2 linked regions of the Canis lupus familiaris genome follow. The protein of the gene in region 1 purifies or fractionates together with the protein of each later gene. This does not show direct contact. Links are inferred from orthologs where the notes say so. Each region holds a gene or a part of one and is shown on either strand. Other genes may lie near its edges. The genes, in order: LAPTM5 and ITCH.

What was found.
Region 2: the proteins of LAPTM5 (region 1) and ITCH purify together in Homo sapiens (affinity purification with western blotting; 3 studies listed by BioGRID and IntAct, with this or other methods). This does not show direct contact. The link is inferred for Canis lupus familiaris from reciprocal best matches to the Homo sapiens genes LAPTM5 and ITCH.

What each region holds. Positions count from the first base shown.
Region 1 is NC_049223.1:69,597,753-69,601,559, forward strand, and holds part of LAPTM5 (lysosomal-associated transmembrane protein 5), read left to right. Parts: intron 1-333; coding exon 334-410; intron 411-2,035; coding exon 2,036-2,167; intron 2,168-2,830; coding exon 2,831-2,953; intron 2,954-3,807. UniProt on the Homo sapiens protein: May have a special functional role during embryogenesis and in adult hematopoietic cells.
Region 2 is NC_049245.1:23,988,703-23,993,071, forward strand, and holds the start of ITCH (E3 ubiquitin-protein ligase Itchy homolog), read left to right. Parts: upstream 1-1,447; 5' UTR 1,448-1,571; intron 1,572-4,369. UniProt on the Homo sapiens protein: Acts as an Acts as an E3 ubiquitin-protein ligase which accepts ubiquitin from an E2 ubiquitin-conjugating enzyme in the form of a thioester and then directly transfers the ubiquitin to targeted substrates.

The sequences.
Region 1 (3,807 bases):
GGTCCCAGCACCCCCTCGAGCTCCCTGCTCCCGATGGGCTGACCACAGCAAGCTCAGCTGCCTGGGCTCCTGGTCACTCAGCTCACAGGCTGGCCTCCCCCTGGCTAGAGCAGCCCGGGGCCACCCTCTCACCCTGCAGCCGGGTTACCGAAATGTTGTGTTTGCTGTCTCTGTGGTCCTCCAGGGCTGAGAACTGCAGGAGGGCAGGGTCTGGGCTGGCTTGCTCACTGTCACGGCCTCCACACCAGTGATTCCCAAAATGTGGTCCTTGGAACCCGCATGGGTGTCCTGGGGGCACCTCCGGGCCCCTCACTACTGTCCCTTGCCTTGCAGCCAACCTGATCTCCAGCTTCCTGCTCATCATCATGCTCTTTGTCATCAGCTTGAGCCTGCTCATCGGAGTGGTCAAGGTGAGGGCTTGGTCGGGGTCGGGGAGGTTCTGGGGGCTGGCCGGGACCCTCAGCTATCCTCCTGCCCCCTTCATATTCACACCCACTGGGTGAACAGCACTGACAAGAGGGTGGGAGGTGGGTGCTTTGGGAGACCCCACTTGTGCCCCAGGGATCTTCAAGCTTGAGGACAGTATGGGAAGCCTCGTTTCCACACCAGCCTTCTGGGGCTGGAGGCCCTGGCTCCCGCTGACACGCACCCTCCAGGGTGGGGGCACGCACACAGATACTTTGGTCATACTAGCTGCTAACCTTCATGGTTGGAAGCTGCAAATGCAAGAAGCAGGGAATTTTGGTAGAGAAAAGAGGAAGGGTCATTTTGAGGTGTGGGGAGGTGAAAAAACAGTGGGTTTTGTAATCAGTGAGAGGAACCAGAGCAGAGAGAGCAGGGGGGCGGGTAGACTCTTGTGGCTCAGTTCCACCCAGCTAGCTGGGGAGGGAGGAAAGGAGGGAGGGAGAGAGAGAGAGAGAGAGAGAGAGAGAGAGAGAGAGAGAGAGAGAGAGAGAGAGAGAGAGGCTGTAGCTCAGTCTTCTGCGAAGAGGAACCGGTCTGTCCCTCATCCCCCAGGGGGCAGGAAGCCAGGGCCTCACTGCACAGCCACCAAAGCAGGACCCAGCAAGAGTGGCCTCTTCCAGGGAGCCTGTGGCCTGGCAATCACTGGCCAGGAGACTGGTGCAAGGAAGGATCAGGGGCTGCTTTGGAACACCTTCACCTTGCCTGCACCCCCCTCATCACTCCCTTAGCTAACAGCACCCTTTCGAAACTCTGTACCCCAGGGAGTGACTTTACCTTGTGCCAGGTGGGTCCTGAATTATTGTGCAGAGACACACATGGTCCAGCTAGAAAAGTGGACTGGGTGGTCCAGAAGGCCCTGAGATTGAGTCTGGGCTCTTCTGGCTGCCTCCTGAGTGATCTTAGACAGCCACATGAGAAACCACAAAACCACCCCTTCTGTGATTTTGTCCCCAGTGGCGAGTTCATGTGCCCTCATATTGGTCACAGTAGTCACTTGCTTTAAGTTGAAGGAGAGGGACTTCAGCCTCAGCCACCCAGGGCCTCTGACCATGACCACACACCCCAAGAGTGGCCCCCACAGAGGAGGGTCCCACCATCGCAGCAGTGTGGGCTTCCCCTGCCACCATCGGACCTTTGCTCATGTTGGCCCTTCTGCCTCCAATGCGCTCCCCGTTTCCCCCATGGTTCTTACCAGATCTAGCCTCAGGGTCCCCACCTCTAGGAAGTCCTCTCTGATGTAAAATGGACACAAAGCCCCTCCTGGTGGGGTTCTTCAGAGCAAGCAGGGTCAGAGCCGGCTCCCGGTGGCCCTGGATCTCTGTAGATGGGGACCCTTGCTCGTGTGTCCTGGGACACCAAGACGCCTGGCCCTCAAGGCCTGGGTTTTACCTCCTCCCCATCCCAGAACCTCAGTCAGAGGAAGGTGCATGGGTCCACCTGAAGCTAAGGCAGGAGGGGGTGACGGGAGAGAGCCGTGTTACCCCGGGAGGGACAGGAGCTGCCAGTGCGGGGGGCGCACGGGGCATCAGTCTCCGGCAGACTGCCTGACAGTGCTGGGCCTGTCTTCCAGAACCGGGAGAAGTACCTGCTGCCCTTCCTGTCTCTGCAAATCATGGACTTCCTGCTGTGTCTGCTCACCCTGCTGGGCTCCTACATCGAGCTGCCCGCCTACCTCAAGTTTGCCTCCCGGAGCAGCCGGGTGGTGAGTACGCAGCCCCGTCCCACGTCCCATAGTCGGCCCAGCCTGGGCAGGGGGCAGGGGCTCAGGCTAGTGCGGTGGCAGCGCCCGGGGCCCTCCTGGGCTGATGAGCCCGAGCCCATCCAATCACCTCAAGTTCCTTTGTCTGTAAGATCCACCTGCGAGGGCTGCCACCCGTGTGGGCCACGGGCATTAAGTGAGGAAAGGTTGCCCTCCGAGGGCCCAGTGATGGCCCTGTGGGTCAGGGCCTTGTGGGCACTACATCGCAGGGAAGGGGACATGTGCGCCTCAGTCCCCAGCCTCTGCTTTGTCCCTGTTTTGTCACCACATTGAAGGAAGGAAGATACAGTCGGTTAAAGCCAACAATGAGCATCCACGGGGCGGATGCCAGTGACGGGGCTGCCAATCCCTGACTCTCCCTAACTGTTGCCCTGGAAGTTAGGGAGTGGCTGGCCCCGGGCTGGGCATCGGGAGACCCTGGGCAGAGGCCGGGTCCTGCCAGCCAGGGCAGGAATGTCCAAGAAGCGGGCATCCATTCCTTTCTGGGTCCTGTGGGCTGGAGAGTCCCCGGTGTCTCTGGCTGATGGCCTCTCGAACAGCACCGGGACCTCCAGCTTAGGGCTTCATTGCTGGTTTGTCTCCTTCCTCCTGCCTTTGCGCCCCAAGGGTCCCTCCAAGGTCCCACTGATGACCTTGCAGCTGCTGGATTTCTGTCTGAGCATCCTGACCCTCTGCAGCTCCTACATGGAAGTGCCCACCTATCTCAACTTCAAGGCCATGAACCACATGGTGAGTCTGGGCCAGGGGCCCGCCCCCATCACTGGCTGTGTGGCCGTGAGCGAGCTGTGTCCCTTGTCTGTGCCTCCATGCTTAGGTTCCCTAGAGATGGAGCCCGGGAGGAGGATGCTTGTGCTAATGATTGATTGCCGGAGAGCTCCCAGATAGACACTTGAGGAGGACTGGGGACAGCATGGGGCGGGACAAAGGGAAGGAGCCGGGCAGACGTGTGACCTTAGGGGTGGCCCTGCCCCATCCTACAGGGAGCCCTGCTGTGTGAATTCCATCACAGAAATAATACTCGTTTTTTATGCTTGGAGAGAGGGGCACTCAACACATCTCAGTATGGCCCCACGGCTTCTCTGCACAGTTTTAGGGCACTACTCAATATAAGTAAAGAGGACCAGACGACTTCTTCAGGTCCTCTATATCCCTTGATTGATGACAAAGCAGCCTGGTCTTTATAAAGATATGTCCTCAGATTTTTGCGGATCTCCACATTAATACCACTACAGTATGTCATTATCCTTCCCTTCCCGAATATGGCATAATTTTACCAGAGTAACCACACACACAATACATAAGAAGCTACAAAAACATTCAGAAATGACAGGCTGCGTAATTCCCAGGCTCATTTGTTGCCTACACGACTTGTTCCCACACATCAGCGTTGCAAAATAATGTAACACTTCAGATAGAGCCTTTTAAAAAATATATTTTACTTTTTAATTTAAATTCAACTAATTAACATGTAGTGTATTATTGGTTTCAGAGGTAGAAGTCCGTGATTCATCAGGCTTATATAACACCCAGTGCTCGTTCCATCACGTGCCCTCTTTAATGTCCATCACCCAGATACCCCATCC
Region 2 (4,369 bases), on another chromosome or scaffold:
GGTTAATGCAAATTCTCAGGCCCCACCCCAGACCTACTGAATCAGAAATTCTAGGGGTGGGGTCCAGCAATCTATGGTTTAATGAATCCTTTTTTTTTTTTTTAAGATTTTATTTATTTATTCATGAGAGACAGAGAGACAGAGGCAGAGACACAGGCAGAGGGAGAAGCAGGCCTCACGCAGGGAGCCCAACATGGGACTGGATCCCACGTCTCCAGGATCAGGCCCTGGGTTGAAGGCGGCCCTAAACTGCTGAGCTGCTGAGCCACCCAGACTGCCCAGTTTAATGAATCCTTCAGGAGATTTTTTCTCTCTCTTTTTTAAAGATTATATTTATTTATTCATGAGAGACACACAGAGAGATGCAGAGACATAGCAGAGAGACAAACAGGATCCCTGTGGGGAGCCTAATGTGGAATTCCATCCCAAGACCCTGGGATCACAGCCTGAGCGAAAGGTAGATGCGCAACCACTAAGCCACTCAGGTGCTCTTCTTTAGGAGATTCTGATGGGCACTAAAGTTTGAGAACCACTGCCTTGGAGATTCTGAATGGGTTAGGATCCAGAAGTCTGCATCATTAATAAGCTCTCTTAAGTCATATTGCAGGAATGCAATTTGAGAATTGAGAATTGAGATTTGAACATACTTTGAAAAATGCAAGTGACTTTCCAGATGGTAAAATATGTTCATAAGGAGGAAACAGGCTAAACAATAATAGCTAAGGTCATTAATTAGGAAGCCCTTATCTGGGCCTCTGAATTTACTTGCACAGCCTATTAATTCTCACAAACAACCCATAAAGAAGAGGATGGACTCTGAAGTCAAACTGCCTGGGTTCCTATCCAGCTTGTGACTTGGTTTACCCATCTGTAAAGTGAGGATAATGGAGGTAGTTTCCTTATAGATTTGTTGTGAGGATTAAAGAAGCTTATTGATCAGCTCTTCCAATACCTGCCAGATTGGCACCACTTACATGTAGGCTATTCTCATCATCCTTAAGCGTACTTTGTTAAAAGGTGGATTTGAACCCCATCAATTTAACTCCCCAGCGTTACTTTCTTAAGGACTAAACTATAATCCAGTGTTTCTGAAAGTGTGATTCCCCCACCAGAAGCACAGCCGAGTTAGAAATGCAAATTACTAGATCTCATCCCAGATCTGCTGAAACGGAAACTCTGGGGGTGGGGCTCTCCTAAATGTCAACAAGCCCTTCAGGTGTTTCTGATGCACAATAGCTTTTGGGAACCACAGCTACAGTCTTTAGAGGTTCTGGGGAAGTGGGCATACTTTAAAAAAAAAAAAAAAAAAAAAAAAGCCTAGAGTGGCTGCGAGCAATCCCATAGTCCCTCCTACTAAGGGCGAGTAAACTCCGGTGTAGCTGCGCTGCCCAGCTCCGGCCAATTCTCCCGGTCAGCGCGCAAGGCTTTCTGGGGCTTGTAGTCCACATCCCTGCCGAGCAGGAGGCGCCTGCGCGTTGGCCGCCAACTCGCTCTAGTCGCTGTGGTCTGGGCTCGGGACCGGCTGCCATCTTAGTCGAGGGACTGAAGAGTCGCCGCCGCCCCGAGTCCCGGTAAACATTCGCGGGCGGACTGGGGGCGCTTCTGGGTAGGAGGGGGAGCCCGCAAGAGAGTGTCGGAGGAGAACCAGGGGTGAAGGAGTGCGGCGCGCGGGCAGAGGACCCTAGAGCCGCGACTGCTCTCTCCTCTCTCACAGCCGGTGCCCGTGGGGGGCGCGGGGAGCTCGGGCTAGTGGCCGAGGGGTGGGTTGGCCGGAGACGCCGAGGAGCCACTTTTTGACCGAGGCGTGGGGAGCCCCTCGCCTCGCGGGCGCCAAGTTGTGAGAGGGCTGGGCCGCGTTGGGCGCCAGCTGGGGCCGGCCCCGCGCCCCTCAGCCCCGCCCGGGGGCCACTCTCCCGCGGCCCGGCCTACGCGCGGGGCCCGGCGGCAGCGGCCGGAGCGGCCGACGTGGCCCTGTGAGGGGCGGCGGCCGGGCCCACCTGCCACTCGGCTGGCCTTCCCGAGACTTTTTGGAGCCCCCAGTCACGAGGCAGGCCCAGCGTAGCGGCTGCCTTCTCTTTCTTACACTCCCCTCCTCCCTCCATTGTCCCCCATCGTGGTGGTCCCGGCCCAGGCGCCCTTTTCCGCGCCTGCTGCCGCGGCCCCGCGGGCACCTCCCGGCGCCGAGTTTTGCAGACGTGGAGCTGTCACTGCCCTCCCTCTTGAGTGCCCTTTTCTTTGGCAGAGAAAAGAAAAAAAAGTAGTCGTGAACGTATTCTAAGGGTGAGAACGTGATGAGGACACGACTTAGTGGGGGAACTCAAGTTTTCAGACACAGTCTCGGGCCACGGCTTACAGAGAAACACAGGGTCTGTGCGCTCAAGGTGGACGTTGGGCCTAAAGTTAAAGATGTAACAAGGTGAACGTGCAAACTACCCGAAATTCACGATTCCCCAATAACAACTCAGCTTTTCTCGGTTATATGCGCATGTTAGTCTTGTTACATTTTCTGCCATAATTCTACAGCTTCAGTATACTTTTTTGGGAGTGAGGGTTGGGGAAGGAAAAGTGGGATTTTTTTGCCCTTTGGAAATTATTGAGGCACTGGAGCCAGTCACTTATCATTGCACTTAGTTGGGGGGTCTCCCGCATCTTTTCTTAATCGATTTTAGGGAAGTATGTAAAGGCAGCGGATACTAACCCTCAAAATCAGCTAAGGATTTCTCAGCTGAAATAAAGTTCTCATGGCAGCTATGCTGGAAGCCTGCACTATGTATTTATTCATAGATTTACTCGGGGTACAGTTATCAACAGAATGTAAGGTTTTTGGGTGTGAGTCCAGAAGGAATTCCTTCATGGTCAGTATATGAATCAAGTCAAAAAGGACATGAAATAAAAAATGAGTGCAGAATACGTTTTCACAGTATTCCAGAGGGAATCATTTCTGAATTCTAAAACAAAACAAAACAAAAACAAAAAACAAAAAACAAAAAAAACCCATCTGTTCGCCTATTGAAAAAGATAGACAAACCAGTAGTTCCTCAAATTGCACATTAGAATAGTTAGGGGAGCTTTTTAAAAGTAGAAATTCCAGGGTCTCCTTTTCTGACATCAATTTAGTAGGTCTGCTTTTGCCCTGAAGAATTTATTTTTAAAACATGCCTCAGGCAGCTCTCTTGGTTTTGGGAACCACTGAGGCAAACAATACTGTGAATCTACTGAGAAGCTTGAGACAGAATTGGCCAGTTCTGTCTGGGGTTTGGCTGTTGAAGGTGGCAGGACCTGCTCCTGTCCTAAGTTTGGCCTTAGATGATGAGTGGGAATGTGATAAGGATGGGGTAAGGGAAGGACAGTGCTGTATGTAAATGCAGAAGATAGTGGGAGAAAAAGGGTTCAGGGAACAGGGAGTGGGATGGGGAAGGAGAGCATTGTAGGATGTGAGGTCAGAAAGGTAAAAGGAGGTAACTGAAAAGTTATAATGCTAAAAACTGGAGTTTTATGTTAGTAGATTCAGAATTTAGACAGGGAAGTGATATGAGTGACGTGTGTTGTAGAAAAATGGCTCTGGTGATGAGAGTGAAAGGGTGGAAGAGTGGCTATTGCAGAGGTCTAGGTGAGAGGTGAAAGGACTTAATGTTGGAGAGAGGCTGTGGGGATGCTCAAGGGATTAGATTTAGTTCTTTACTAGTGCAATATTGTTGCCATATTTTTGGATGAGACTTTTTGGGGCCAGACTGGGTAAAAAGGCTCTTGTTCTGTAAAAAGAACCCATTAGCAAATCTGAACAATATTACCAGGTTATATATATTAATGGTATCAAAATATATTGTTCATTAGTACTTTTGGAAAATTAGAACTAAATTGGTTGCATTTGGAGGAGAACTTGGAGATTACACTGAAATTTATGACTTTCAACACTACTGATCTAAGCCTGTTGGAAGTGTTTTTCTCTTGTACTCAGGAACTTGGTATTAGAATTTTGGAAGAGATAATCTAGTCCACAGTGGCAAATATATTTTGGTTAATCAATTCTGCTTTGAAGTAGCTGCCAAAAGCACTGTATTGAGAAGGATTTTGGTCATATGTGCTCTCTGGGAAAGTAAGTTATGATTGATAAGTGCCTGATACTTCCTGTGGACACTGTCATCTCCTAGGTGATATATATGCCAGGTATATGCCATAATTAGACTAGTCCAACCTATTAGTTTTCTGTTTGCTTATAAAAAAAAAAATCCTAAGCAGTAAATAATTTACCTAGAACAGGTTAAGATTTAGAGCTAGAATTAGAACCAAGTTTTGTGACTCTTAGTTTATTATTCTCCAGTGTGTCAAGATGATTGTGTGCTGCTAAAAAACTTTTGGTATTAGATGA